4 linked regions of the Notamacropus eugenii genome follow. The protein of the gene in region 1 interacts with the protein of each later gene in a pairwise test. Links are inferred from orthologs where the notes say so. Each region holds a gene or a part of one and is shown in the gene's direction. Other genes may lie near its edges. The genes, in order: EDA, MAL, EMP3 and CYB561.

Evidence for each region.
Region 2: the proteins of EDA (region 1) and MAL interact in binary tests that used the Homo sapiens proteins (3 or more experiments, as listed by UniProt). The two-hybrid records come from large-scale screens. The link is inferred for Notamacropus eugenii from reciprocal best matches to the Homo sapiens genes EDA and MAL.
Region 3: the proteins of EDA (region 1) and EMP3 interact in binary tests that used the Homo sapiens proteins (3 or more experiments, as listed by UniProt). The two-hybrid records come from large-scale screens. The link is inferred for Notamacropus eugenii from reciprocal best matches to the Homo sapiens genes EDA and EMP3.
Region 4: the proteins of EDA (region 1) and CYB561 interact in binary tests that used the Homo sapiens proteins (3 or more experiments, as listed by UniProt). The two-hybrid records come from large-scale screens. The link is inferred for Notamacropus eugenii from reciprocal best matches to the Homo sapiens genes EDA and CYB561.

Annotation. Positions count from the first base shown.
Region 1 is NC_092879.1:100,925,770-100,933,499, reverse strand, and holds the start of EDA (ectodysplasin-A), read left to right. Parts: upstream 1-4,685; 5' UTR 4,686-5,007; coding exon 5,008-5,466; intron 5,467-7,730. UniProt on the Homo sapiens protein: Cytokine which is involved in epithelial-mesenchymal signaling during morphogenesis of ectodermal organs. Functions as a ligand activating the DEATH-domain containing receptors EDAR and EDA2R. May also play a role in cell adhesion.
Region 2 is NC_092872.1:605,721,803-605,729,677, forward strand, and holds the start of MAL (myelin and lymphocyte protein), read left to right. Parts: upstream 1-4,474; 5' UTR 4,475-4,811; coding exon 4,812-4,904; intron 4,905-7,875. UniProt on the Homo sapiens protein: May be involved in vesicular trafficking from the Golgi apparatus to the cell membrane. Plays a role in the maintenance of the myelin sheath, and in axon-glia and glia-glia interactions.
Region 3 is NC_092876.1:12,891,938-12,899,898, reverse strand, and holds the start of EMP3 (epithelial membrane protein 3), read left to right. Parts: upstream 1-4,862; 5' UTR 4,863-5,036; exon of another isoform or gene 5,037-5,061; intron 5,062-5,979; exon of another isoform or gene 5,980-6,008; 5' UTR 6,009-6,022; coding exon 6,023-6,100; intron 6,101-6,746; coding exon 6,747-6,858; intron 6,859-7,231; coding exon 7,232-7,372; intron 7,373-7,507; coding exon 7,508-7,668; 3' UTR 7,669-7,961. Other genes in the region: ODAD1 (outer dynein arm-docking complex subunit 1), read right to left, coding at 575-642, 740-853, 941-1,705. UniProt on the Homo sapiens protein: Probably involved in cell proliferation and cell-cell interactions.
Region 4 is NC_092873.1:344,382,228-344,389,753, forward strand, and holds the start of CYB561 (transmembrane ascorbate-dependent reductase CYB561), read left to right. Parts: upstream 1-4,154; 5' UTR 4,155-7,526. UniProt on the Homo sapiens protein: Transmembrane reductase that uses ascorbate as an electron donor in the cytoplasm and transfers electrons across membranes to reduce monodehydro-L-ascorbate radical in the lumen of secretory vesicles.

The DNA of each region.
Region 1 (7,730 bases):
GTAGGCTCTCTTTTGGACCAGGTTTCCTGCCCAGGTTATTCTACTGTAGGCTTTGACTGTGCATAGGACTGGATCTCAGACCCTGCTTTGCTCCTGGGGTCCGTCGCAAAGTTTTTGCTTGCTTCTGTACTTGGTCCTCTCTGAGCACATGCCCAGGGCCCACAACGACTTTTTGCCCTGGTCCTCAACACCTAGGAAAGGGAGTAGGAAAGGGAATAAGCACTTATATAGCACCTGCTGTGTGGCAGGTAATATGCTAATCATTTTCCAAATATTATCTCGTTTGATTCTCAAAACAATTCTTTCAGGTTGGTTGTTGTCCTTCATCTTCGAAGAGGACCAAAGTGACATCACCACTGTAAAGTGAAATTTCTGTGCGTCCAGCTGTGGCTGATCAGACCTGTACAAGCTCGGAATGCTCTACCACAGGCTGGGCACAGATAGTCCGTATAAATATTTGGGGTGGATATCCCAAATTGGAGCATCCTACATTTACTTCGTGCTATCTCAATTCTGCTTTGCTCAAAGAGCACAGCACCCTTTCTGACGTGGGCACTTCATGCCGAGCGGTCCTGTGCCAGTGTCTCCCATGTTGCACAGTCAAATACAAAGTTCTTGAGAGAGACCTTGAGAGTGCCCTTGTATTGTTTCTTCTGGCCACCACGTGATCACCTGCCCCGTGCAAGCTCTCTATAAAAGTCTTTTTTGGCAAACATACATTTTGCATTTGAACAACGTGGCCAGCCCATCAGAGTTGCACTCTCTGAAGCATGGTTTGAATATTTGGCAGTTCAGCTTGAGCAAGGACTTCAGTGGTGCTATTCTTAGCACCATTTTTTAGTTGGAGAAACGGAGGCGAACAGAGGCTAAGTGTTTAAATAGAAGTTAAGTCCAGGGTCACACAGCTTGTAAATGTCTGAGGTTGGATATGAACTCAAGTCTTCCTGACTCCAGGCCCGGTGCTCTAACTTCTGTGCAACCAAGCTGCCCTATACTCCTAGGTGCAGTCTGCACTAAATTTGTGATCCAGTAGTGGGAAATGAGTGACAAGGCTGCTACTCTGCATCTGTTTCTGCTCCCTGAACATGATCAGGGGTTCTGGGCTCTCTGTGATGGATCTAAGATTTCTTACCCTAGCTCACAGTAGCAGGCAGCTCTTTATTCAGTCCCCTTGAAGGAAAGCTCAACCCATCCCCCAGTGTCTGAAGACCTCCCTGTGCGTCTCCCTATGCGGACCTGGGCATGATGAATAATTCATTATGGTTTTAAAAAAATCCTTAAGTAGGACTTGGCCTTTTGAGTTTTCTAGATCTCTGTGGAATGCTTGTAGGCAAAAGCTCAGTTGTACTTCTTCCTTCCACCCTGCCCTTGTCTGGGTTTCAACAATCAGGGGAATAGGGCATTTGACCTGGGAGAGGGGGGCAGAAAGACATTTGCTGTTGCCAGTTGTTGTAAGGATACCTCCATTCCTTCCCCCACCATGTCGGTGTCCCTCTCTGTCTCTCTGTGTGAGGGCAGGCACCTTGTGAAAGTTGAGGGCAGCTCTGAAGAGTTGCCTGGATTTCAGTGTTATTTCCTGCATATCTGTGTTCTCCTGTGTTGTGGCTGTCTCTGGAGAAAGTCTCCAGTCTTGAGTTCTGAACCCTTCCCTAATTTCTTGAGCATGTCTGGATTTGAGGTGACAGGACCCCAGAAACCAATAGTTGTAGGACCCTGATAATGCTAATGCACAGCATGACATTTGGAGAGTTGGAGGGTCCCTGGGCTACAATGTTAAGAAATGGCTGCCATTTGCTTCCATTTCCTCTTCAGATAACAAGAGGTATCCTTTTACCTCTTCACAGGTTCCTTGGAGGGGCCTTTCCTATGCAAATGCTCTAGAATCCTTTCTGAGTCTGAAATGCATCCATATTCCATGGGATATCCCACCCAGATCAACCACTAGATCAACCTCCAGATCAACCTCCAGATCCAACCACCATACTCCACTGTATTAGCAAGTCAGGACAATCCAGAACTAGCAAGTTATGTGACCTTTGGCAAGTCAGTATCCTCCCTGTGTGGTAGTTTCCCCATCTGGAAAATGAACAGACTTGATTATCTAAGAGTTCTTAAGCTGGGGTATAGAAACTTTTTAAAAAATACATTGCTAATGGTATTTCAATAGAATTTGTTTCCTTTGCATTCCTATGTATGTGATTTAAACCCTCCTGAGAAGGGATTCATAATCTTCTTCATCTGACTGCCAAAGGCCATCCCTATCTAGAACTCAAATGTGAATGGATTTTCTCCACAGAAGCCAAAAAGGTGACAAGCCCCAGAAGTCTCTGAGCTCCTAAGGCCCTTTCAGCTTTAAGTTCTGTGAATGGGTTAGTTAGGATAAACCAACTTGACAGACATTTTCAGGCATTAAAGACAATCACTAATGTCTGGAGAGAGTGAGAAGGGACCTTACCAGGCCCTTCTCACTTTAAATGGAGCTATGGGCTGAGTCAATTTTCTTATTTGTAACAGGGCTATAATTAAATAAAACCTGTATATTGTAATCTGGGGGCAGGAAGGGACATGAGGATCATAGAATTTAAGAGCTGGGAGGGACCTTTAAGATTATATCGTCTAGGGGTGGGGAATCTGTGGCCTCAAGTCTATATGTGGCCCTCTAAGTCTTCAAGTGTGGCCCTTTGAGTGAATCCAAGCTTCAGGGAACAAATCCCCTTCATAAAAGAACTTGTTCTGGAAAACTTGGACTCAGTCAAAAGACCGTACCTGAGGACCTAAGCCCCACCTATTTACAGATGAGGAAACTGAGGCACAGAGTTGCAGTGATTTGTTCAAAGTCACACACCTTGTAAGTGTGAGGGACAAAACTTGAGCTTCAGGGTCATCATTTGCAAATCCAGAGTTCTTTTTACTGTACTAAGGAAACTTTTCCCTCTAACCCCGTGACCCTTTCGTTCAATGATCTGAGCTGCCTCTTCCACTCCAGGTCAACCCAGTCAGCTCTAGCCCTAGAAAACTGTGAGTCTTTGGATCTGTCCTTTCCACCGTCCCTCATGGGCTCAAGGGGAAGTCTGACTTCAGTGTGTTTGTTGCCTTCTTGTGTTTGGTGTAATGTTAAAGATTCTGCCAGCTGTGTATTCTCCAGCTGCACATCTGGAACTCTTGGCTGACTTGTTGAACTCCCTCCCAGGGATTTCTCCAGGGAGTGAGTGGGGAGGTGTATTAAGGCTAGGACAGCTGCCTGCAAATGAAGATGCCAGAGTCCCCAGGCCACTCTCCCCTCCCCACCCCCACTTTGGGAAGATCTGCTCCATCCTGGTCATCAAATTCTCCCCTTTGTCCCCTGAAGGGACAAGTTTAGCTCTTTTCAGGAGAAAAGATTGGATTGTCATTGAACTATAGAGCTCAGTGGGACTTTAGACCAGAGAAATAATCCAGAGCCATAAGGATAAAACATGGAACACAGAATGTGACTCTCTGGAAAGACCCCAGAATCAAAAATGCTCGAGTTGGAAGAGGATCTCCGAGGCCTTATTTAGCCCAAACTTTACTTTACAACGAGGAAACGGGGAGGCGGGGGGGGGGGGGGGGGGGGGGGGGGGGGGGGAGTCACTCGTTCAGGCTTACTTACGTAGCTAGCTAGTGCCAGAGATAGAACGAAAACCCAGATTTCCTGGTCGCTCAAGTCAGCATTCTCACATCACATTAAAAGGAACTCTACTGCTCCCCCCCCCCCCGCACCCCCCCGCAAGAATCTCGCTAAGTGGTTGTCGAATGAATGAATGGCTATTTCAGTCCCCTCGGGCGGGCCCCAGCACTGGCTCTCTTGCTCCCAACTTCTGTCTCTCGCTGTCTCTGTCAGATTCTGTCTCCCTCCACCCCTACCTCTTCTCAGTCCCCTCGGGCGGGCCCCAAGACTGGGTCTCTTGTGTTCCCTTCTTCTCTGTCTGTGGCTGTCCCCCCTCTCCCCCTCCCCTCCGCCTTGGGCTCCCAGGCCGTGGCTGCTCCCGGGATTCCTGTCCCGGCTTCGTCCGTGCGCCAGCTGCCTGCGGCTTGGACCTCGGCCCTGGCTGGCAGGTTTCATTCCAAAGCCCTAACTGTTTTAATTACTTGGTCTGTGAAACCCCTGGAAGGGAGAGAGACGGAGAAGGGCTGCGCTGGGTTAGGTGGGGGCACTGGGAGGTGACGAGCAAACTTCTCTCCGTCCAGAGCTCGTTTTCCACTGGTTCAGGTCCACGAGCACTTAGTTGGCCCCTGCTGTGAGCGGGGAAGGCATGAGGCGTGGAGTGGAATCGAGTTGTGATCCAGCTCCTGCTCCCCCTTCGCGACGGAACCGGGCACAGGACAAGAACTCGCCTTTCCAGATCGCCCCTCATTGGGCTAGCCTCCCCCTGGCAGGCGCCCAAGGGTTAACTGGAGGCGGGGTCCAGAGCTGAAGGGCAGCCGCTCCCGCCAACGGGAATGGGAAAAGCGGGAAGCTGAGGGAGGAGCGAGCGGTCTGGGGCGGGACCGCACGCGGCCCGGCCCCGCCCCCTGAGAGAGGGACCGGGGTGGAGTCTTGGGGAGGGCGGGGCGCGGGGCGCCGGGAGCCGGGAGGCCGTGCCGATTGGATGGCGGAGCCATCGCTCCGCGGCCACGGGGCGGGGCCAGGCCGCGCCCCCGCCTCCCTCCGCCCGCCCCCCCGCCCGCGGAGTGGGGCCGCACACGCGGCTGCTCCCCACTCCGGCCCGCCCAGCCGCCGCCGCCGCCTCGCCCGTCTGTCCGTCCGTCCGTCCGTCAGTCCGTCGGTGCGTGTGTCCATCCGAGGTGCGGCGGCCGCGGGTGCCCCGAGCCCCCCGGCCCATGGCCGCTCAGTAGACGCGCCTGACAGGGCTCCTTCCGAGAGTGCCGGCCCAAGCAGCAGACGCGGCGGCGGCGGCGGCGCGGGGCCCACGGGCCTCCCGGGCGGACGGACGGGCGTGCGTGCGTGCGTGCGTGCCAGAGAGTGCGGGAGGCCCCCCGGAGGCCATGGGTTTCGCCCAAGAGCCTGCAGCGGCGCGCGGGGAACCCGGGCCAATCGTCGGGCCGGTCATCGGGCCGGGCCGCCGCCGGGCTAGCCAGCGAGGCTGCGGCTGTCGTGGGGGCTCGGCTTCTGCGGGCGCCTGGAGCAGCTGCCGCCTCTTCCTGGCTTTCTTCGCGCTGTCGCTGGCCCTCCACCTGCTGACACTCTGCTGCTACCTGGAGCTGCGCTCGGAGCTGCGGCGAGAGCTAGCCGCCGAGGCCCGCCGCGCCCCCGCCCCCGCCGGGCCGCCTGCCGGACCCCCCGACGCTACCGTTGATGCCTCCCGGGACTCTTTGGCCGTCCGCCGCCGGCGCCAACGCGGGCAGCTGCCACCTCAACTCCAGCAGCAGCAGCAGCAGCTGCCACCACCCGAACCCGAGTCTAGGGACACGGCGCTTCTTCCCGACCCTGGGGACCCGCAGCAGGTGAGTCACCCCTCCTGCCGGGCGGCCCAAAGAGGGAGGGAAGAAGGGTACACCTGCTCCCTTGCCCTACTGATCGCCTGTCACCTTCTGCCGCAGTAACCGGGAATGTAACTAAGTCATTAAGGAAATGGCAAAACTCATTCAGTTTGAAAGTAATTCACAAAGCTGGTCACAAAGTAACTGGCAAAGTTACTTACAAAGTTGGCCACAAAGTAACTGGCAAAGTTACTTACAAAGTTGGCCACAAAGTAACTCACTAAGTCAGTCACAAAGTAACTGGCAAAGTTACTTACAAAGTTGGCCACAAAGTAACTGGCAAAGTTACTTACAAAGTTGGCCACAAAGTAACTCACTAAGTCAGTCACAAAGTAACTGGCAAAGTAGCTCACAAAGTAATTCATCAAGTCACAAAGTAACTGGAAAAGTAACTCACTAAGTCAGTCACAGAGGACCTGGGGAAGAAATTCCCTAAGTTTTAGTCAAGGAGTATCTGGCAAAGTGACTAAGTCAGTTGGAAAGTCAATTACAAAGTAACTGGCAAACTCATTAAGCCAATTGCAAAGCAAAGTCATTGAACTAACCAGGGAGTAGAGGCAGGCCCCTTGGAGGGACCGGTCAGCTTCATGCCTGAGGATAACTACTAGCTCTTAGCAGCTACAAGGCTGCCAGCCGGAGCCAGCTGCCAGCAGCTCAAGTGAGTGCTGTGTGCCCCAGGGAAGTAACTTCTTAACCAACTCCATGTCAAACCATGTGAGATGATTTGGGTTTTACCCGCAATTTGAGAGCCATACCAGCTCGATCATTCCTTGGGAAGGGCTTACTACCTCCAAGCTATTTTAAAAGTTTGGGGAAACACTCCCCTTCCACCTTGTTGCATGTTGCCTCTGTCCCTGGAAGCTAAGGATGGGGGGGGGGGGGGCAGGGAGAGGAGGCAATGTCCAGTAGCCACATGCTAGAGAAATGAGATCTCCTCAGAGGAGCCTGAGGCAGCCTAACAAGAGACTGTATTATGTGTATATGAACTTTCTGGTGGTTTGGTTTGAATGGGTCAACTTTTAAGCTTACTTTTTTCTCCTCTTATAGTTAACCCTTTTAGGGTACATTGAGAGCCATTCTAATTGAGATTAAATTGTTTGTAAAGTGTAATAATTGCAGTGAAACAGCCTTCTGGCTTGATCACGGAACAGTCATATGTTTTTATTACTTGGGAAGAAGAAGGTACTGAGGTCAATTAGGTGCTTGAAGGTCAAGGGTAACCCTGGCATTCTCTCTGGAATATAAGAACTCAGTACCTTAGTGTCAGCCTGTGCAGGTGGGCTGTAGAGTTGGGCATTACTATTGAGGATAACTGAACATTGCTGAAGATTTAAGACTGAAGCTTTCTCTAGCCTAGATTGTAAAGTTACTTTGCGGTTTCTCTTGCTTTGCTAGCAGGCTCCAACCTATAGAAGGACTGATCAGAGAATAAGCAGGCAAGCTTGAAACTTTACACTCTGTGGCAAAATGATAATTATCTGAGATTTGGGCTCCTTTACATAACTTTCTCCTCACCCCTTCAAGCTACCCCCCTCCTCCCCCAGTAGAAATATTTTGCAGTTAAACTCTAATGGAAAGGTAAAGGAATTCAGTATCCTTTTTGGCATTCAATATATAGACAGTCCCATGTTTATAATCTGTTGATAAACAGAACATCTGGACCTCTGGGGCTTCCTTTCTTGGGGGAAAGAGGCCAGGACTGACCTCTAATGGGATTTGGGATACCTATTCTCCTAGAACGTTTCATACTGTCCTGCCTAAGTTTTAAACCTCTGCCTTCCTAGTAGGCCTGAAATTGTATTGTCCTTCTTTGTACATTTGGGCTGTAGATGCAAGCATGCTAGTACCTTATCTTTCTCCTGAGTAAGCTAGAGTGCCCCAGTCAGAGTCAGAGGATCTTGTTAGCCAAACTGATTTCAGCTTCATCTTCCAGATTTTCCTTGAATCTTTGAAACTTTCAGGCAGTTTTCAAAGTGACTTTAGCTTAGGTGAACTTCTGTGTATCTTAAAGACAATGTTTTGAGCCTTCCTCGATGTCTAAATTGAACCATTTCCAATCCAATAGTTCTGTGGAGTCCTGGGTCAAGTTTCTGGTGCTCTAGGGCACCCTCTGCTGGCTGGGCTGGGATATAGAATTCTATGCTGACAAGGATTCATGCACAGGGAAGTAAACAGCTTTTCAGGTTCTGGTAACGTAGGGCAGATTTTCATATTTTGTTTTTCAAAAC
Region 2 (7,875 bases), on another chromosome or scaffold:
CTTCTCTCTGCTTTGAGCTCCTGCCTTCCTCAGGGAAGAAACAGAAGACTGAAACTTTAACCTTGTGTGATTTGGTTATTTTACCCATAAGTGTACCCATAATACAGTTGAGGGTGGAAAACACTGTTCTAACAGATAAAGCCCAGAAGTGAGAGCTAGAACTCCTGATTTCTATCCACAGACTAATGGAAATATGTCCTAAAGATCAACACTGGTATCATTTAAGTCCACTCTCAAGTTCCAACCTGTCTACTTTCCCTACTTTGCTGGTTACTACCATTGACACCTACTCTCTCACACCTATAAACCTAAACTGACTCTTCTTCTTGTATTCTGCTCCTCTCCTACTTAAAATTTTGCTATCTTAAATTCTGCTATGTTAAAATCAGGGTCAAATTCAAAGCTCCTTCATCCAAAATCTCCAAGAAAAATATGAATTGGTCTCTGGCCATGGAAGAGCTCAAAAAAAATTTTGAAAATCAAGTAAGATAGGTAGAGGAAAAATTGGAAAGAGAAATGAAAGTGAGGCCAGAAAACATGAAAAATGAGTCAATAGCTTAGTAAAGGAGATACACATAAAAAAATGTTGAAGGAAGCAATACCTTAAAAAACACACTAGCCCAAATGGTAAAAGAGTTATAAAAAGTCAGTGAGGAGAAGAATGTCTTAGAAAGCAGAATTGACCAAATGGAAAAAGACGCACAAAAATTCACTGAAGAAAAAACTTCTTAAAAAGTAGAATTGGTCAAATGGAGAAAAGGAGGTCCAAAAGCTCACTGAAGAAAATAATTCTGTAAAAATTAGAATGGAGCAAATGGAAGCTAATGACTTTATGAAAAATCAAGAAAAAATAAAACAAAACCAAAAGAATAAAAAAATAAGAAGACAATGTGAAATACCTCATTGGAAAAACAACTGACCTAGAAAATAGATCCAGAGGAGATAGCTTAAAAATTATTGAACTACCTGAAAGCCTTGATCAAAAAAAGAGCCTAGACATCATCTTCAAGGAATTATCAAGGAAAACTGACCTGATATTCTAGGACCACAGGGGAAAATAGGAATGGAAAGAATTCACCTTCTGAAAGAGATCCCAAGGAGAAAATATTGCAAGGAGCCAGAAAGAAACAATTTGAGTATTGTGCAGCCACAGTCAGGATAACTCAAGATTTAGCAGCTTCTACATCAAAGAATTGGAGGACTTGGAATATAATATTCCAGAGGGCAAAAAAGCTAGGATTACAACCAAGAATCACCAACCCAGCAAACTTGAGTATAATCCTTCAAGGGAAAAAATTAGATATTCAATGACATAAAGGATTTTCAATATTCTTGATGAAAAGACCAGAGCTTAATAGAATATTTGATTTTCAAATACAAGACTCAAGAGAAACATAAAAAGGTAAATAGGAAGAGGAAATCATAAGGAACTTAATAAAGTTAAACTGTTTACATTCCTACATGGGAAGATGATACTTGTACCTTCTGAGAACTTTCTCATTATTAGGGCAGTTAGAAGGAGTATACATAGACAGAGGGCACAGGTATGAGTTGAATATGAATGGATATGTAAACAAAATAAAATTAGGGACTGAGAGAGGAAAGTCCTGGGAGAAAGGGAAGGGGAGAGGTAGAATGGGGTAAATAATCTTACATACAAGAGGCAAGAAAAAGCTTTTAAAGTGGAGGGAAATAAGGGAGAGGTAAGGGGGAGTGAGTGAACCTTACTCTTATCAAAATTGACTCAAAGAGGAAATAACATGCACCCTCAATTGGGTATAGAAATCCATCTTACTCTACAGGAAAGTAGGAGGGGAAGGGAATAAGGGAAGGGGAGGCTGATAGAAGGGAGGGCAGGTTGATAGAGGGGTAGTCAGAAGCAAAACATTTTTGAGGAGGGACAGGGTGAAAGGAGAGAGAGAGAACAGAATAAACCAGGTGGCAAGGGAGAATAGGATGGAGGGAAACATAGTTAGCAATTGTATTTGTGAAAAAAAATATGAAGCAAGTTTCTCTGATAAAGACTTCATTTCTCAAACATATAGAGAACTGAGTCAAATTTGTAAAAATGAGTCATTCCCCAACTGATAAATGATCAAAAGATATGAACAGTTTTCAGATGAAGTAATCAAAGCTACCTATAGGCATATAAAAAAATACTCTCACCACTGATTCAAGAAATGCAAATTAAAACAATTCTGAGGTACTACCTCATACCTATTAGGTTTATTAAGAGGACCAAAAAAGAAAATTGACAAATGTTGAAAACTATGCCCAAAGGGCTATAAAACCTACCCTTTGATCTAGCAGTACCACTATTAGGTCTGTATCCCAAAAGAGATTAAAAAACACAAAGGAAAAGGATCTATATAGTCAAAAGTATTTATAGCAGCTCTTCTCTGAATGCAAAGAATTGAAAACTGAGGGATGCCCTTCAACCGGGGAATATCTGAATAAATTGTGGTATGTGACTATGATGGAATACTATTGTGCTATAAGAAATGATGAGAAGGATGCTCTTAGAAAAAGTTAGAAAGACTTACATGAGCTGATGCAAAATGAAATGTCCTGTGTACAAAGCAACAGCAATGGTATAAGATGATCAGCTGTGAATGACTTAGCTCTTCTCAGAAATACAATGATCCAAGACAACTCTGAAGGACTTATGATAATAATGCTATCCATCCCCAGAAAAGGAACTGATGGTGCCTGAATACAGATTGAAGCATACTTTTTTGACTTAACATGGTCTTCTTTGGCAACGAAGGACGAACATAATATGGAAATATTTTACACGACTACACATTTATAACCTATATCAAATTACTTGCCTTCTCAGTGAGGGAAGGGGGAAAGAAAGAAAGGGAGGGAATTTGGAATTCAAAGTTTTAAAAATGAATGTTAAAATTTTTTTTTACATGTAACTGGGAAATAAATAAAACACTAAATAATTGTTTAATGAAAAAAAGATGAACCCTTCCGGCTCTTAGTAATCACAACTTCACTTTCAAAAAAGCACCCCTTTGATCATGCATTTTGTTGCTATCTTTTGTTTTTTACAGTCTTTTCATATTACACCTTGATTGGGTTATACTACAGTCCTGTAAGGTTCAGCTTTTCTTATCCCTTCTCCCCATTTTACGGCTAAGGAAAACTGAAAGGAATCCAGTGATTTGCTCGAAGACGCAAAGTTGAGGCAACATTCAAACTCAGATCTTCCTCACTATGTGTCCTGTCTCCACTCTATTCCATAGTAACTTAAAAGACTTCTTTTCCAAAATTCCAGGTAGACATAGACAACCCAGTGACTTTCAAATGGTGTCCTCCGCCCCCCCAACAATTGTTTTTTTTTTCTTTTTGTTTTTTGGAGGAGAGGAGGTAAAGCAATACAGTTGAGGTTTAATTCAGTTTCTTAGCCTGGTTTTGTAACTCACTGAGGGGCCGGGCAGGAGGATAAAGAAGGCTTGAATGTAAAAGCAGACACCTGAAAACTGAACAGTCAACATTCTACCGAGTAAGAGGGCTTTTTAAAATGCGAAGCCTTGAAATTTAAGTGGCCGCGACGTAGAAAAGTGACCAAGAAAACCCAGGATATTCATTCTCTTGACTATATAGGATGGGCGTTGAGGCTGAGGAAGGAAAAATACCTAGGCGACAAACTCGCCCTATTGCTGCAGGTGTGGCTTTCGGAAAGGAAAGAACTGTTTAATTTCGGTACTACAGGAGCCTACGGGAAAGTGGGGGGGGGGGGGGCGGGGGGGGGGAAGATACTACTAGGGGCCAGAGGATGGGGGAGACGTGTACGGAAGGCTAATGGAAAGATCATGGATCTAAGTCAAAAGAGTTAGATTGAGTTCGAAAACCTATCTGTTTCTTACACGCTTGTAGAATTTAGTCCTGGAAGGGACCTGAGAAATTACCCCCATCTTAGTAGCTTCATGACCTTAGATAAATCATTTCACTACCCTGGACCTTGAGTTTATCAGGTGTAAAGTGAAGGAGTAGAAATAGACGTTTCCAAAGGTCTTTCACCATCTGGAAGTGGTTAAGTCACACCTCAATGCCCCCAGGCAACTCTAAGACTGTACATTGCCGCGAAGATGGGCAGCCTACATTGGTAGGAGTTCCCTAAACCGATGAAATCACAGGTCCAGTCCCAAGCATCTTTTCTAACTCTGATTCCTAAAATCCAGTGAATGTTATTCCCCTCATCCCCGTACTCCTCTGCCACACCCACCCACACGTCTCAAGGGCAGATCTTTCAACCTAAACCTTCTAAACCCTGGACACTGGAAACACCGGCCCGCTGAGAGAGCCGGTGCCCTTCCCCTTGAGACCGAGTAGAGAAAGCCCAGGTTGGAGGTGGGGGTGAGGAACAGAAGGCACAGGAACTAGCCCCATCCAACTTTGGGCTAGCATAGTGGGGAGTGCGCCCCTCTGGGGCTGAACCGGGCACTGCCTGCCAGAGGGAGGGAGGGAGGGTAGGCATCTTGGCATCCTCGGGGTTTCCTCTGGCACAGTCACCGCGTCCAGTGCCACTAGATGAGGATTTGGCAGCGTCTTTCTGGTCCTTTGTCTACACCTTCAGGGAGGAGACACCTGCTGCCACACCCCGCACTGGGGGCGCCAGTCTCCTCCTCCTTCCTTCCCCCCCTCTTAATCCTGGGCGCCCTGGCCATCAGACCAGTTCAGAATTCTCCAGGACCAGCGGAGAGTACGGGTAGAGCCGGTGAGAGGAAGGACCTTCTCTGTCTCCCAGAAAATCAGCGACACCAAGTGCGGCTGCTCTTAGAGCCTTGAAAGCAGAGAGGATGGCCCCTGCAGCAACTTCGGGAGGCGGCTCCCTGCCCAGTGGCTTCTCTGTGCTGGCCACCTTCCCAGACCTGCTTTTCATTTTTGAATTTGTGAGTTGGTCTTTAAAAATATCTGTTATTTCCTGGCCATGGGGAAGGGGAATGAGGATAGATAGAGGTAACATCTGCAGACTTGACAGACTATGATGCTGCTACTAGCTCTTCTGCGAGTGTCAGGATTTTTCCTACTCCCTTGACAAGGGGGAAGGCACAAGAATGGGGCTCATACCCAGTTGGTTTTTAACACTTTCCTATTTCCCAGGCACTTTCTTCACAGCAACCCCGTGAGGCATCTAGTTCAAATATTGTCCTCCCTTTACTCAAGCAGAAAGGCTCAGAAAACTGAAGAGATTTGCTGTAGCTACATAGACAGCTACTAAACTGGGAGCTAGGATTTAACTCCCGATCTCCTAGTCCAAGTGCCAAAGAGCCTTGCACAAGCTGATAAGAGCCTTCCAGCCTGTGAGCTCCATCATAAACCTGTTAGAGCCTCCCCAAAGTCATTTAGGGCTGTAGACTTTCTAGAATTTGGAGATTTCAAACATTTCTTCCAGCAACTCAAATTGACGCAATTGATAGTCTACGTAGAATCAAAAGACTCCCATAAAGCTGTCATTCTTAAAACTTTATACTGCTTAGCAAGTACATGCTTTGGTCCCAAGGTCCTTTTTGCGTTTAAAAACAAAACTGCCTTAAACTATATTTATTCAGAGTGTAGCGTAAAGAACTCTGGATTTAGAGTTGAAGAATTTGGTTTCAAATTTCGCCTCTACCTCTTACTACCGATAATAATTTTAGGCAAGTCACTTCTAATGATCCTATGACCTCTCTCTGCCTCAATTCCTGTAATTTGTAATTACAGCCAGCTGATAATTGTTTTCTTTCTTAGATTTTGTGAAATGTTATAACATAAATTGGGGGTACCACAAAACATTGTTTAGAGAATTACCTAAATTCTAAATGCAGTAAAAAAAAAAAAAAAACCAACTTGTTAATATGGTATTAAATGAAGCACATTACCCAAAAGATTCTGAGTGTGACTAGTTTTAAGTAATTTTTTAAAGTTTGTTTTTCAACTTGTAATGACCAAATGGAAGCGTTTTTATGTTTTCAGCTGAACATTGCATACATCTCTTTATCCCTGTACTGATTCCTAAGCTTTTTTATAATGTCCCTTGATGAGAGAAATATAATTTGAATCACTGTCAAAATTGTGTAACTTTAAAATAAAGATTTATTTGGTTTATTATGGCATTAACTTAGGAGGGGGTTGGAATAGAAGACCTCTAATGTCTATTCCAGCTATAAATCTATTACCCGGGGTGGGGGGAGAGAGAAATACTGAGGGGTTTTTTTGAGTTTTTTTATCAGTCAGTTAACAAAAATTTTTAAGTACTTACCATATTCCAAGCACTGTGCTAAATGCCCAGGCTCTGGTCTCCAGGAGCTCACAGGCTAATGGAGAAATAACCAACTCTGTACAAACAAGTTATATACAGGGTACATTGAGGGGAATCTCAAAAGAAAGGCACTAGAATTAAACAGGCCTAGGAAAAGCCTCTTGTAGAAGGTGGGATTTTAGCTGGAACTTGAAGTAAGCTTGGAAAACCAGGAGTAGAAAATGAGAAAGAAGAGCATTCTGGGATTGGGAGACCGTCAGTGAAAATGCCCAGAATCTTGTGAGACAAAGAATAAGCAAAAGAAACTCAGTGATTGTAAAACAGAACAATTATGACAATTAATATCTGGGTGGGATATACTATGAGGACTTGGGGTTTTTTTTGGGGGGGGGGTGTTATCCCTCATTCAAAAACTGTGGGACTTGTTGATATGTACCTTAAATCCTTTCTCTGTAGGTTTGGATAGCTTTGATTTGAAAAGATTACAATAGAAACATTTGTTTGCATAATAATAGTGCAGAGCACTATTCCTACTATACCTAGGTTGGTGCTTAAATAGATGGAGGCTTAAGATTCTCCTCCCACTATAGTCAGTGAAAGTTGTGTGACCTTGGGCAAATCCCTGGACTTCTCTGGACCTCCGTATTTCACCTTGTTCTCTATGACCTTGTTCAAAGGGAAGTTCATAAAGACTATACTAGTTGAAAAACTCAATGAAAATTCTTATGGTAGTTCCTTTTGCATACATGTTAGAAAACATTTGGATACCAGCCACCACCCACTGGAATTTGCTGTGTGCTTATGTTACCAACTACCAAGAATTGTTCATTTGTTTCCTGTTATTCTTAGTCAACTCCAAGTCAAACACAGTTGTTCTTTTAAATTCTAAGTCATGTGCTCAGATTCTATAGTAGTAGTAGAATTTGTACTCCTTCAGGGATTAACCATCTCACTTTTGTGTTTGTATATCCAGTATCTAATATACATAATAGGTACTGGTAGGGGCTGGTACACAGGAGGAATTTAATAAATGCTTATTGCCTGATTAATAAGTAGTTTCCTCTTATTCAGATCAAAAGTTGAAAGTGTGTTGCTGAAAGAGGCTTTCAGGGTACTTGGGAGATTTTTTAAATGATAGCTGTCTCTGGGGCCAGCAGGATGACTCCTGGATATAATTTTTCTATTTAGTTATCATGTAATCATGTTTAATTCAATAAAAATTTGAGGAGTACTTACTGGATAGAAGTACTACGCCAGGCAATTGAAGGGGTACAAATGTGTCTATGACACAATTCTTGCCTTTAAAAGAGTTTACAGTCTAGTAGTGGCTGGAGGAAGGAGATTAAAAATGTTTGAGAGTCTCTGTGACCCCACCCCAACTGAATTGAGAACATTTGCTCAATTTGCATGATGGCTGGTTATGATAATAAGACAAATAAAGTGTTCTGGGGCAAAAGAAATCACTTCCAGTGGAAGAGGGGGATCATGAAGTTTCAGGAAGGAAGTAGCCTTTGATCTAGAACTTAAAGGATGGGCAGAGTTTCAAATGGTAGAGATGTCAGGGTGGGGAGAACATTCCAAGCAAAGTAGAATAGTATGAACAAAGACATGGAGACTAGGAA
Region 3 (7,961 bases), on another chromosome or scaffold:
AACATGCAGAAGCACATGGGGGGCCCACAGGGACACATGGGGGGGGCCACAAGAGCACAGATGGGGTTGGCCCTCTTGGAAGTCTGGCTCCCTCAGCCCTGGATGGGGTCTCAAGGAAGTTGCCTGAAGACACAAGGAGGGGCTGTACCCTCAATCCTGGCCCCAACAGAGAACCTAGATGAGCCTAGTGTAGGTTAGAGTTGGTTTCCTCAGTCCTAGACAGGGACTGTACCAAAAACATGGAGGGGCCTGGCTCCCTTGCCCTGGAGAGGACAGGGAACATCCCAGACAACAGACTTGAAGGGCCTGTTGACTGCACACCAGGCAGGGTCGCAGAGGTGCCTAATAGAGAGGGCTGGTTCTCTCAGTCTTAAAGAGGGTTCCAGAGACATCTAGAGGGAAGGAACTTGGTGCTGCCCAGGGTCTCAGGAGTCAATCCCAGCAACACTGAGAGGAGGGGGTTGGCTCCCTGAGTCCAACAGAGCCACCCCCAACTTGTCACAAACCCAGTACCCACACTCACCCAGAGCAGAGAGGGCACCCCCTGGCACGCCAGGGAAGAGCCAAAGGTTACCTGGCATCAAAGGCTGAGTTGGATTCGTCTATGTGCGATCTAATGGTGGAGCGGATGTCCTGCAGCTCCTGCTTAGCATGGGCACGGTCATGGGCAACAAGTTGGTGAGGGAGAGAAGCTGAGCCCTGCTCCCGCCTCCCTCTGCCTAGGGCTGGGGGGCCTGACCTTCTTCAGCTGCTGGTTGATATACAGAAAACGATTTCTCTGGATGTGCAGCAAACCCAGCTCTTCTCGAAGGATTCTGTTCCTTACCAGCTGGGTGTCAAAGCGGGTGGTGGCCTGCAGGGCATCAGGATGGCAGGGTCACCAGAAGCTCTGTTGGCCTCCTGGGACCCTCCCCCCCATCAGTGCCCCAGGAGCACCCACCCGGTCTAGTTGGTTCTCCAAGATCTTCACTCTTCGGAGGTCCCGGGCCTTCCTCTGGAGGACTAAGCCTGGGCCCCTGAGGTCCTTCAGCTGCAGCAACACTCGACTCTCCCACTTGGCAATCTGGGGCCCCGTGGGGCCGTGGAGAAGGGACTCGGTGGGTCCTCCATTGGCCGGCAGGCCCAGCCCAGCACTGCCCCCCGCCCCGGCCCCACCTGTTGGTCCAGCTTCTTCAGGTGCTCCTGCGCCTGGATCACCTCCTTGTACAGCTGCTGCCTGCGCTCCAGGAGGTTTCGAAGGTCCTTCTCCCGCGCCTGGTCCAGGAGCTTCTGGGCTTGGCTCTGCGAGATCTCCATCTTCACCCGGAGCTCCGTCTGCTCCTGCTGCAGCCTTTGGATCTCCACCCTGCGGCCGGAGCCCGAGAGAGCTGGAGCTGGCCTGCGCCCTAAGCCACGAACGCCCTTCTCCGTTCGCCGAGCACACCTGCCCTGGGCCAGCCTCCACCCCCCGCACCCGGCTCACATCTGCTTGTGGATCAGCTGCTGGATCTCCCGGCCGTAAGCCTGCCGCTCCGCCTCCATCACCCGGCATTGTCTCTGCAGGCGGCTCAGCTCCCCCTCTGCAGGGCGGGGGGCAGGCGGGGGCCGGGTCAGCTGGAGGGAGGCCGGGCCAGCGCCCCGCTCCGACCCCCCGGCCCGAGCACTTACCGGAGCTATCCAGGTAGGCTTCGCTGTCCTCCGAGCGCACGCTGATGGCCAGCGGCATGGTGGCTGCGGGGAGAAGTCTACTTGGGCGGCCCTTGGAGGGCAGTGGAGGATCCAGGTTGGGAAGTTGGGGGGCACAAGGGCACCGGGGGCCCTACAGGTCTAGACTCGGGCCTCGCCCGATTACGCCCTCTGTTGTGGTCCTGGTTGCTGGGGCTACAGGGCCGGCGGCGGGGATTGGGGAAGCTGGCCCAGGCGGGGTGGGGGGGGAGGGGGATTGGGGCCCCTCCTTCACGCTCCTCCCTCGGGTTTCCCCTTTCCCTTTCTCCCCCCTCCCTCCTTCTCCCTCCCTTCGGCCCTCCCCCGACTCCCTCTGGGGGAGGCTGACTCAGAGGATCTCCTCCAAACCCCTCCCCGGGCCTCGGGCTGGCGGAGCAGAGGCATGCAAGCCAAGGGGAGGGGCGGGGTTGAGAAAAAGGGGCTGGAGCTGAGAGGAGAACGTGGCACCGCCTGGGGGCGGAGCTAAAGCGGTGAGGGGCGGGGTCAAGCGGGAGAGTGAAGATTTAAGAGAGCTTTGGGAGGGTGTGGCTGGGGATGCTGGGGGGCGGGACAAAGGGGACGTGGGTAGTAGAAACTGGGGTGGGGGCTGAGGGGAGAGACTCGGGAGGATTTGAGTGGGAGGGCTTGGGGAGGAAGATGGGGGTTTGGCTGAAGCTAGGAGTTAAGGGGGCGGGACAAGGGGGATTTGAGGGATGCAGGAGCAGCAGACTAGGGGCTGGGGCGGGAGGGAGGAGCTTGTGAGGGGCGGGGCTTAGGAGCTGCCGAGGGGGCGGAGCTAAGGGGAGAAGGGCTCTTAATCTGCGGGTGGCAAATGGGGCGTAGATGGGCGGAGGGAGAGCTGCTCACCGCCGCCTCCCTCCCTCGCGCCCCCGCCTAGTGCGCCTGAGCACCAACGCCCTCGAACCGCTCGGAGCAGGAGGCGGAGCCTCTCTCCGGGGCTCCTCCCCGATTCCCTCAGTGGGAGGGAGCCCCGCCCCCAGCCCGAGCCACCTTCCACGTGCTGCCAGGCCGCAGCTCCCCGGGGCTGGGCCTCGAAGGAAGGCGGGCTGCAGCCCAGCTCCAGGCCGCCCGCGGCACAGGGCGTGCCCCAAAGCTGCCTGCGGTTTCCTGAGGGAGGAAGCAGTAGCCTCCTCGCTCTCCTCCCGGGGCTCAGCATCAGCCTGAGGGGCCCTCCTGGCCCTAGCCTGGTGGGCGCGCCCACCTCCCACCTGCCCTCTCAGGGCTACAAATCCGTCTCTTGTGCCCACGGCTCCCGGTTCGGCCAAGCACGGTCTGCTAGCCAGGAAGGAGCCGTGGGTTTGGAGTCAGAGGCGGCCCTGGGTTCCAATTCTGCTCTGGCTTTCTGTTCCGGATCTGAGCAGAGCTTTGCCCGGTGGCAGATCTGAGCTTCAGATCACATCAAGCCCGGGGCCTCTTCCTGGGTACCGAGCAGTGCTGGGGGACCCCAGGAGCAGCGGGTGCAAAGAGAAGAAAAAGGCCCGTAAAATGAAGGACTTTCCGAAGTCACTGCCTCCAAAGCCCGCTCCTCTGGCTGGTGGAGGCTCCTAGACGGCGGCCCCCCTGCTGCACCCACATTACTTGTATTGTGTTTTAGATCGAATTATCTGTGTATTGGTTATTCTCCCCTCCCCCACTGGAATGAAAGAAACGCCACGGGGGGCGGGGGGCACTATGGCAGTAACTGCTGGGGGGGAGGTCTGCCTTCTCCACTCAACAAAGTGACTTTCCTCAAACACAAATCTGATCAAGTCACTCCTCCATTCAATAAACTCCAATGGCTCCCTGTCATCCACCTCCAGGGTCAAATGCGGAGCCCTCTTGAGATCAAGGCCCGTCCCAACCTGGCGCCCTCCTTCCTTAAACCTCATTCCCCAATACATACTCCAATCCAGTGTCACTGGCCACCCTGGTTTTCCCCAAGCAAGACATTGCATCTCTGGGCTCCAGACATTCTCTCTGCCTATCTCCCATGCCGGGAACACCCCACCCTACGATGTGGTAGACTCTGGGAACCTCCTTCAATCTTCCCACTTAATCTGGCTTTTCACACCCAGATGCCCGTTACCCTTCACCTAGCCCAGCCCTCCATTACCTGTTACCTCTGGATTGCCTCACCTGCTTCCCACTTTTGATCAGTCACCCCAGTCCCATCAAGATCCTCCCTAAACCCCAATTCCCATCACCCTAGACCATCGCCAGATCCCTCACACAATCTTTCTGTATATAAATTCCATCTCACCTCCATGAAGGTGCTCAGATTCAGTCTGGCTTAGATTCAATCTCGCTGAGATTCTATCTGGCCCACTTGTCAATACAAGAGGCTTGTTAAGAATCAACCCAAAATGGCAAATCTTTAATAAACTTTGTTTTACTTTGGCTGAAAGAAGATTCGGGTCGAATTCATTTGGGTGTCCTGAGCACCCAAATCTCAACACTATGGTTTCCTGACCTCAACACCTCCACTCTGATACTGACCTCCCCCAAAGCTTTCCCCAACCCTCTGAATCCCAGCTCCTTCCCCTGTTAATGTCCTACTTATCCTGTCTACAACTTGCTTTGTATATACTTTTGTGTGTAGTCTACCCCCATTAGATCATAAACTCCTAAAGCTATCTTTTAGCCTTTTGGCGGGAGGAGGGGCATCCTCAGCCCTTAATACGGTGCCTGGCACATAGTCGGTAATTAATAAACATTTACTGACTGGTTGGCTTCCCAAGTCAAGGTCCTACCTTCCAGCTACCTTCCCCAGCCCTCAGTCTCTGCAAGCCCTGGGATCAGGGGCAGTGGTGACAGAAAGTGGAAGACACAAGGCTGAAGTAGACAAATGAATAACTTGAAAGACACAAACATAGAGATACAGAGACAGAGAGACACCCAGAGAGGGAAAGACAGAGAGACATAAAGAAAGTATGATGGTGCATGATTCAATGGAAACTTGGGTCCCTCCCAGGCTTCTCCTGCTTGTAAATAAAAAGGAAGTTAGAGAATATATCCCAGAGGCAGAGGAGAGACACCCACAGACAGAGAAATGCAGAGAGAGGCAGAGACCTAGGCGGGGTGGAAGAGAGAGAGTGGTTTGGACCGTACTGAGAAGGGAGTGGGTCTTCAGAGGAAGGAAGAAGGGAGGGAGGCGGGGGCCGGGCAAGAGGTGGAGAGAAGGAGGGAGAGAGCAGGGCGGGGCAGGGAGGCCGGGAAAAGGGACCGAGCATTAGCTCTGACTTCCTCTGGCTGCGCTGGCTAAGTGCTTCTCCGTTATTTGAGAAAGAAAGGAGCCTTTGAGACAGGAAAGACCCCATCTGCCTCCAGATACCTTCTACCTGGCCAAGGAGAAGGTGAGAATCCTAAAGCACTTAGTAGGTATGGGAAGGGAAGAGGAAGGGGACAGGAAGGGGAGGGGGCAGGGAGAGGGGAGAGGCAACACTCTTTGAGATCCACATATGGGACATTCCCTTCCCCACAGATGCTGGGGGTGGGGGGAAGTAGAGGGTGTTCTGCCAAAGACCCCAGCTGTCTCTTCCTGCCTCGTCTTCCTTCCTCCGGGGATCCAGACATCTGAGCTAACAGCCCTTACTCCCCAGCTCAGGATTTCCTGTCTTTCTCCTGTTCTAACTTCCAGACCCCAATTCTCCCTCTTGGCCAGTTCTCTGAAGAGACCCAACTAATTCCCTTAACTGCCCTGCACTAAGCCAGGCATCCCAAGCTTCCTACACCTCAGTTTTGCTCTCCTAGGGATCCCCACACTTAGTCCTGCTAGCACCCAGACCTTTACCACTCTATCTCACTTCCATAGCCCTGAAAGGCCCCAGGTGTTTGGCTGCCCTGCCCTAGACCGAGCGATGACTTGAGGAGGACAGTAGCAAGGCCCCAGGGCTGGGGTTTCTCTGGTGGGAGAGAAGGGAATGAGTCACAGTGACTCATGTTGAACCCCCACCAAGGAGCGGGGGAAGACAGGAGGAGAGCCTAGTGGAGTCTTAGTCCCTAGGGCAGCGCCCCACTCCAGCTCACAAACTGGGGACTAGTGGGGAGGAACTAGGTGGGGCAGGTTTCAATCCTCATGTCTGGGTTCTAGTTCTTAGAGGGCCCAGATGGTGCAAACACAGGGAGTGTGGGAGGGGAAGATCCCCCTGCAGCTCCACTCCACACACGCTTCCCGCCCCCCCCCCCCCCATCCTTTGAGGATGCAGGCATCTCCTTCAACTCCACTGGGGAATATCCAGGCTAGATCCCCAGGCCATGCCCCTAAACTCCCCCCTTGGGAGTGTCCTCCATACCTAGGTGCCAGCCTGGCTCTCCCCTCCCCCCAGACTCTGTGGGCATCATGTCCCTGCTCCTGGTGGCTGTCTCTGCCCTGCACATCCTCATTCTCATCCTGCTCTTTGTGGCCACCCTGGACAAGGTGAGATTATGGGTTCAGGGAGGGGTGTTCTGGCTCGGCCCAGGGCTTTCCTCCCTGCTCCCCCCCCTTCCCTGCCTTTTCCACCCCTGCGAAAGCATCTGGCCGTGCGATGCACCTCAATACAGGCACCTTTGGGGTAGAGACAAAAGTGAATGTCCTTGCCTTCAAAGAGCTTACCGCATATGGCAGAAACAATGGTACACACAGGTACATGCACACACACACTCAGACACACACTTGTACATACATACAATAGATGGATGTACATACGGGGGAGGGCCCTGCCCATGGGCGCAGAGGGAAGACATCCGAGGATGTGAGGAAGGGGATGTACCCCAGGAAAGGGATGGGGAGGGCAAAGATGATGAGCCCATAACCTGAGGGGATCCCAACGAGAGAAAGACCTTAAAGCTGAACAGAGGGGTTGACAGCTTTAGCCAAGAGCCAAGGAGTCCGGACACTTCACTGAGGGGGAGGCAGAGATACAGTCAAACTGGAGTTTAAGGAAAATCCCTAGGACCCCACCCATCAATTCCCCTCCTTCCAAGCAGGCTCTGCCCCTCGGCCACCCTCCCCCCCACCCTCCCCCGTCCCTAATTCTTGTTCTCTTCTGCCTTTTTTTTTTTTTGACCCCGACTGGTCTCAGTCATGGTGGATTCTCCCTGGGAATGACTCACTGAACCTTTGGAAGGAATGCTTGGCCCATTTGAACCAATCTTCCCGGGAGATCTGGCAATGCAAAAATGTCAGCGAAAACGGTGAGGGAGAGCACCCCCCAAAGCTCCCCCCACCCAACTACACCTCTGCATGGAGGGGGGGGCAGAAGGGTTTGGATTGCCACAGCCCATTAACATCAGTCCCAGGGGTCAGCCCCCAGTTCTGAGGGGCAAAGTCCCAAGGCCCCAAGACAGCCAGGGTTGGGATTCCACCTTCTGAGGAGGGTGGGGCCAATGCAAACAAATGAATGAATGAAATAGCATTTATGAAACACTACTATACCAAGCATGGTGCTGGGGGCCAGGAGTGCCAATACAAAAGGAGCCGGGTTGCTGCCCCCTGGGAGCTCCCAGTCTAACCAGGCAGACGTAGGGAAGGGAATGGCAGCTAAGAGTCTCCGGCTCTGCTCCCCAGGTTGGCTCAAGGCCGTGCAGGCCCTCATGGTGCTGTCCTTGGTGTTCTGCTGCCTCTCCTTCATCCTCTTCATGTTCCAGCTGTACAACATGAAACGAGGGGGTCTCTTCTATGCCACAGGGCTGTGCCAGCTCTGCACCAGTGAGTGAGCCAGGGCTGGGGCCTCGGGCATGGGTGCCCCTTGGAAGGGAGGATGGGGAGGGGAGGGCAGGCACCAGACTGGGGGCTGCAGGGAGGGGGTGGGTGTGACTCCCTCTGCCCTGCCCCCTCCCCTAGGTGTGTCAGTGTTCACGGGGGCCCTTATCTACGCCATACACGTCAAGGAGTTTCATCATGCTGGAGGCTCCTTCGGCTACTGCTTTGCCCTAGCCTGGGTGGCATTTCCTCTGGCGCTGGCCAGCGGCATCATTTACATCCACCTGAGGAAACGAGAGTGACGTCCCCCTCCCCTGGCCAGCTGGCCCTGGCTCACAGCCCCCGAACCAGTGAGACAGCAGCCTCTCCAGCTGCCTTGTCCTGGGCTAGGTCCTGACCCTGGCCAGTTTCCTCCTCTGTGGAATGGGGGAGTAAGAAGAAGCTTTCTCGGTCCTCTTCCTCTTCCCTGCCCAACCCCTCTGACATGCACTTCCTGCCTCTAACACGGTACCTTGGGGGCCTTTCCCGCTCTTACTCAGGCAGCTGGTGCCCAGATGACCTGGCCAGGAGTGAAGACCTCAGTTCAAATCCAGCC
Region 4 (7,526 bases), on another chromosome or scaffold:
GAAATCACAAGAAAAGACCTAAATCCAAAGCCTTTTCACATTTGCCCATAAACTTTCTTTTAAAAAATTAACTTTAGAGTAAATGCTTGATTCATGGCAAAAACAATTTTAGCTAAAATTTCCTTTTCAACAACAGAAATAAACTTTTAACATAATACATGCTCAGATGAAACAGGCTTGAAAATCACACCTATATATATATATACATGTACATTTTTAAAGCATTCTCATTTTCTTAATAAGAATGCTACAACAAGAAAACTCTTACAAAAAAAAAACAATTCATAACAACTCTTTTTAACCAATTCACTAATTAGCTTAACAATGCAATTTTTAATACAATATTTAGATGGATTACCTAAAAATTTAAACTTATTTAAGTTTACTTAAAACTTAAAAGAAGCCATTAACCTATTCAGCTCTTTTTTTTATAACCAAATGTAAGTTTCAAATTATCAAATTTCTATCACATCTTTTTAAAACCCCAATCTATATGTAATAAATTACAAAATTTAAAATCGTGTAACAGTTACATTAGATCAATGTTGCATCTAACAAATACCCATCCTTTGTTAATGGATCTAACATTTTTGGCAGAAATGCTCCTGGGTGTCTCTGCCCTCCTCTTATTTGTACCAGGATTCCCAAGGCCACCCCTTTCTGGCCCTCCCACCCTGCAAAGAAAAAGAAAAACCTAAACTTATTATCTTTTTACTTTAAATACATTGTCTGGCATCAAATATATTGATCTAATTAAACCTAAATCCAAAACTCTCAGCTCTAAGTTGCTTACTTGAGATTTTTTTTTTCTAATCTTCTGCTTACTTCCACCAAACTTTAATAAATTCTAACCTCTCTGAAACATTAAATTAAGAATGACACATTTCACCTATTCACAATTCCAAATACGACCAGAATGAATTCACTTAACTTTCTGTTATTTCCCATTACACTAAAACTTCTTCTTTTGGGTGAGGCAGGAAATGGTTAATTGGTTGCTAGCATGCCTCTTAGGTCTGAGGGAAAAAGATTTTTTTTTTTGTTCCTTTCTCTCCCTACTTGTCCCTCAGCCCCTCTGAAACTAGTCTGGAGGGGTTGAAGAAAGGGAGTAACAGGAATTTCAAGGACAGTTCAGCTCAGCCTTTCTGCTCCTGCTGGCTGACTGGCTAAATTTACAACCTTATCAGATAAAAACAGAGACACACAGACTTTCATTCACACAGAAATACCAACACAACATATACAGACAAAACATTTAACAGAATAGAATAGTACATATAGGTTTAAATTTTTGGCAAACCCAATCCTCAGAGGAACCATATTTGGGCCAGATTGTGCCTCCTCCTCCGATGTCTTTTCACCCCATACAAAACAACAGTACTTAATCATCTTCTTCTACATTCTTTTCTCTATAATTTGGTAATTCATGCCAATTTTGCAATCGGTTTCCCAAGGGACTATTTACCGGTATTTCTTCCTGACTCCACTCCGAAGCTCTATTCCTGGACTGCTTTTGTCCCATTTTGGTCGAGGGTTGTCGCCAACACCTCCGAGTCTGAAACTCAACGAATTGTGCTAGCTCCCTTGCTAGCTCTCCCGCTGGCTCTCCTGCTAGCTTCTCAGGAATTATGCTAGCTCCCTTGCTAGCTCTCCTGCTAGCTCCTTTGGTCGAGGGTTGTTGCCAACACCTCCGAGTCTGGGACTCAACAAATTGTGCTAGCTCTTCTGCTAGCTCTCCTGCTAGCTTCTCCTGCTAGCTCTCTTGCTAGCTTCTCTTGCCAGCTCTCAGGTGAGGGTCGCCCATCACCAGCAGTCACCCAGCAAACGTTTTTTGGGGGGGCCCTTCACCCTGGGGTCCCGCAGTCCACTAATTTGGTTGGGAGTTGTCACCTTCTCCCCGAGTCTATCTAAGACTCAACGAATTGACCCCCAGGCCCCCCCCCTGCGCTTACCGCTGGGTCGTATACGCGTACAAGTTGCCTGACTGCAAACTTCAACACCAACCAGTTGGCATTTTTACACACTTCACAGCTTCGGAGTCTTTGGAGTCCCTATCTCTATTCTTTTCTGTCTTCACTGAGTTCCTCTGCTTCGGGTCGTTACCTTGCAGAGAGGGAGGCCTGGCAGCCCTTTTCAAGGACGATGGGGAAATCTCCCCACGGGCGCCCAGTCTTTGAACTGAGCTGTCAGCCATCTCTCAGAAAGGTCACAGATCCCGGGCGTGCCCCCAAACTGTGTGGGATGGCTCAGGTCCCTACATAAATCAATTACTCAGAGGCCTCTCAAAGTGATGACAGAAAAGTGATTTATTCAATTCTCGAGAAGCGGGGCTCCCCTGTAGGAGTAGGAAAGCCGAAGACAAAGAACAGGACAGTGATTTATATAGACCCTAACGCAAGTCCCTCCTCCCCCCACTGACCATTATCCTCATTAGCTGAGAATATGGTCTTACATTCTAGACATGAAATCTAACCAATCCCTTTTGAAATGAAGACATGGAGGAATTATGTAAGTTTTGTCCAATCATTGAGACCCTAATACACTACACAGTTTTATATCCTTATATGGAACTATTCTATTCTAAAAATATTGTAACCTTGAGCCTTTAGGCCTTACCTCACCCCTGGGAGAAAAATTACAATCTGAGGAGTCTTCACTAAGTCTATCCCACTCACCCAGCAAAGCCAAGCATAATCCTGAATGAAAAAAAAAATGGACATTTAATGAATTTTTTCAGGATTTTGTTTAAAAAAACTAAATCTGAACTTAATAGAAGATATGACGTACAAGAGCCAAGAGAAAAATGAGGTATACACACCAAAGACTAGTTACACGGTACTCAGTAAGGACAGACTGTTTGCCTTTTATGTATGTAAAATGTATGTCTAAGATTGTTATTAGTATTTGGGTAGCTCATAAGAAAGGTTGGGGTAGACCTAAGTAAGATGTGATTTTTAAAAAGTAAAACTGTTTAGGAATAGCTAAAAAGGGTAATTATCTTATACAAATGAGGTGTGAGAGGAAGAATGAAAACAAGAGGGGGAGGAGGGCGCTGGAAACCTACTTTCATCAGGAATGCGTTCAAGAGGGAACAATACATATATATCTAGAAAAGTATAAAAGTCTTCTAAATTCAGAGAGAAATAAAATGCTAAGGGGATAGAGAGGGGAGAGAGGATAAGGGAGGGATCTTTAGAGGGGAAGGTAATGGAATAAGTTAAAGGGGGTTATAGGAGGGTGTTTAGATAAATGGAAATGGTAGGATAAGGGAGAGATCCTGGTGGGGGTAGGTTAAGTAATGGGCAAAGTAGAGGGTAGAAGTAAAGTAGAGGAGTCAGGAAGGATAGGAAATAAGAGATATGGACAAACAAAATAATGATTGGGAGTTGAATTTGTTAGGGAAAAAGGAGCAGGAGTGGTAATCATGATCTTGGACAAAGTTAGGGCTAAAATAGATTTAATCAAAAGAGAAAAAATAGGGAAACTACACTGTCAGCTCTATTTATCAATATTGTTTTGGAATATTTAAAACAACTAGACCAGTATAAGGTGGGGATATTGCTGTGGTGTAGAAGATGATGACTTGGTAGACTTGGAAAAATATAGAAAGACTTGGACTTATGAAGGAAGAGATTATCCACCCTCAGAGAAACAGGATAAATAAATAATATAGTCTTACGTAGATAGATATGAATGTGTATGTCTATATATGACCACAACTATTGATATCTAAGTATATGTATGTGTAAGTGTATTTATGTATGGGTATATATGTGTTTATGTATTTCTATGTGTATATGTCTCTATATATCTATATATGTATGTATGTGCATAGGTGTATGTATGTGTCCGTGTTTACTTGTAGCCTTGGGGAGGTGGGAAGGAAGGGGGAAAACACAGGAAAGACCAAAAGAAAAGTTACAAGGAGGCAAAGAAAGATGGACAGCTCTCTGCACAATGCACAGTATTTATTATATAGGCTTTCTTGAAATGGAAATTTATTGCTGTATATTTTGAATCCTCATGTTCTGTCATATGCATGGCAATGCTTTTTTTCTTTTCTTATTTTGTATTTAAGTTTAAAATGAAATTTTGCAAAAAAAAATGTTGTATTATGTTGTATAAATTATTCTTCTGGTCCTGATTGCTTCACACTTTGAAACTGTTCCTTTTGTCATTTCTTATGGTGCAGTAATATTCCATTACATTCATATACCATAATTTGTTAGCCATTGCCAATTAATGGACACCTCTGTAACTTTTAATTCTTTTGCTATCACAGAAGCACCACTATGATAATTTTTGTACGCTTATGTCCTTTCTTTCTTTGATCTGTGTAGCTTTAATGTTTCTATCATTGAGCCAGAGGTTCTGCTTAGTTTAGTATCTTTTGGTGCCTAGTTCCACATTGCATTCTACACCAAAGTGGAGGGAGTGTTGGTGCATGATTTTCTGTTTGCAGATGCTCCTGCACTCACTCCAGCCTCTGATGCTGAGATGCAACAGAGCATGGATCAGTTCTCTGCTACTTGTGCTAATTTTGGCCTAACAGTTAACACCAAGAAAACACAGATGCCCCATCAGCCACCACCACACCATCCATCTGTGGAACTATTGGTTACAGCAAGTTTTGAATGCTGTGGATAAGTTTACTTACATTGGTAGTGTACTTTAGAGGAATGTATATGTTGATAATGAGGTTGACGCATGCATTGCCAGAGCTGGCTTAGTGTTTGGGAGGCTCTGAAGAAAAGTCTAGGAGAGAAGAGACTAATTACCAAACTGAAGGTCTACAGAGCCGTTGTGCTGACCTCATTGCTGTAAGCTTGTGAAACTTATACTTGCATAAGTTACAGTATACTAGTAACATGCCAGAAAAACTGAATTGTCCTGAAAAATTACCCTAGGAAGATTCTGAAGATCACCTGGCAGGATAAGCTACCAGACACTGAGGTTCTTAGTCGAACTAAACTGGCAACTGTTCAAACTCTGCTTCAGAGAGCGCAACTCTGATGGGCTGGCCACATTGTTCGAATGTAAAATGTATGCTTGTCAAAAAGACTATTTTATGGAAAACTCACACAGGGCAAGCAATCACATGGTGGTCAGAAGAAGCAATACAAGAACACTCTCAAGGTCTCTCCTAAGAACTTTGGAATTGATTGTGTGACGTGGGAGACACTGGCACAGGACTACTCAGCATAGTGTGCCCACATCAGAGAAAGTGCTGTGCTCTGTGAGCAAAGCAGAATTGAAACAGTTCAAAGGAAACACAGGATGTGCGTATTTAAAGAATCCACCCCAAATGTTCACCTGGATTATTTATCCCTAACCTGTGGTAGAGCATTGTGAGCCTGTATTGGTCTGATCAGCCACACTTGGACACATTGAAGCTTGACTCCAGCATAGTGATGTCATTTTGGTTCTCTTTGAGAATGTACAACCAACCTTTTGGTGCATAGTTTCATATTGCTTTCTAGAACAGCTAAACTACTTCTGAGCTCCACCAGTGCATTAGTGTGCCTGTTTTCTCATATCCCCTCCAACAGTTGTCATTTTCTATTTTTTGGCATCTTTGCTAATCTGATGGGTATGAGGTGGCATCTCAGAGTTGTGTTAATTTGCATTTCTCTATTTAGTAGTGATTTGGAGCATTTTTATATGGCACTTGCTAATTTATATCTTTTGACCATTTGGGGGGAAATGGCTGTTGATCTTATCGGTTTGAATCAATTCTTTATATATCTTGGATGTGAGACTTTTATGAGAGAAACTTGCTCTCTATCAAAGTTGGTCATCACACAATGTTGTTGGTACTATATACAATGTTCTCTGAGGTGCTACCTCATACCCATCAGGTTGGGGACAAATGGTCCATGTGCATATTTGGTGCCTGCTCCCCAATTTCTTTATTGTCATGACTAGGGAAGACTGTGCTACTATTCAAAGCAGGCTAATTTCTGTACCAGGTGCCATCAACAAACATGCTGGCTCAATTCTTATTCCAGAATCCTAGTAGTTAGGATTGGTTTGAGATACTGCATGAAGCAGAAAAATGCAGCTCGGATCCTCTGTCATTTCAAGAAGGTGTAAAGAGCCTGCTTTGACTTGTGACCAAGCTCAGGCTATCCTGATTCAAAACAAGCAAAAATTTCAAGTTTCTCCATATTTAGAGAGTTTCATTCAGAGGCTTCACTTTAACCATATAAGTTGGAAGAAAGAAAAAGACAACTGGAGAATATGCTCCAGTTGGGTGGTTAGGGCTGAGATGAAGCCAATAATTTAAATAACATGATCTTACGTTTATATAGAATTTTGCAATGACAAAAGCACTTTCTTGTACCTCCTCTCATTTGACTGTCACAACAGTTCTGTAAGGTAGAGTGGACAAGCTGTATTGGAGCCCAGTGACTTGTCCAAGGTAATGAGCTGGGATTGGAAGAGTGAATTCCAAATGTTCTTCTTTACTCAGGCCAGCCCATGATTTTTTTTTCCCCAAGATTAGCCTGAATTGGAGAAAGCTGAACTTTAGCAACATTTCAAACTCATCCTTTGAATTTAGCTCAGGCATTGGCTTACAGCAGCAATTTTTAGGGCATGCTGGCTCTGCCAGAACCCTAAGCAAAAGTGCAAAATTTGTTTTGTGGCTTTAATCCAGCTCCCTTTGCTTCCTCTCCTCTATTACTCCAGACACCCTCTACCTTTAAACTCCCTTCTGGCTGGCTTCAGTTCCATATGCATGCAGAAAGGTCCATTTCATTCCTGTCACTCTAGTCCTTAAGTAGCATCCTCAATAAAGGTGTGAATTTGGCTTAATTCACCCACGGGCCTTGGTAATTTTAAGGAGATGCTTAACATAAATTAAGTTGGCAGACTGAGTTAGTACTGGTTTTCCTGTGTTTCTTGCCTATTTCAGGTTTCTTTTTCCTCCAGTTTCCCAGAGAGTAAAAATACATTCTCATTCCCACTTCTGCCCTATATACCTATCTTCTCAGTAGGCTTCATAAAACTGCCCTTACTTGCGGAAAATCAAAGTGAATTAGGAATATGATTTCTCTCTTCCAAGAATTGACGTATAAATTGTTTTATGCACATACAAACAAAACCTAAAGCATTCAGTATTACATTCCATCACCTGTAATATAATGACTAAAATTCTCTGGGCATTTAAGGCCCTCTGATGTCATTATTCTGTGCTTTGTCGATAGTGAGAAGACTTGGATAGCCAGGTGGTATAACGAATAGTGCTGGACTTGGAGTCAGTAAGACCTGAGTTCATATCCTGCCTCTAGTACTTTGTAGCTATGTGACCCTGGGCAAATTATTTAACCTCTGTCTTCTTTAGTTTTCTCATCTGTATAACGTGGATGATAATAGTATCTATCTTACAGGATTGTTATGAAGATCAAATGGTATAATGTAAAGTGCGCTGCAAGTCTTAAAGCCTAAGTGCTAGCCACCTCTTCCTCTGACTATATTAGTGATTGTGAAGTCTGAACCTCAGTTTCCTAATCTGTAAAATGAGG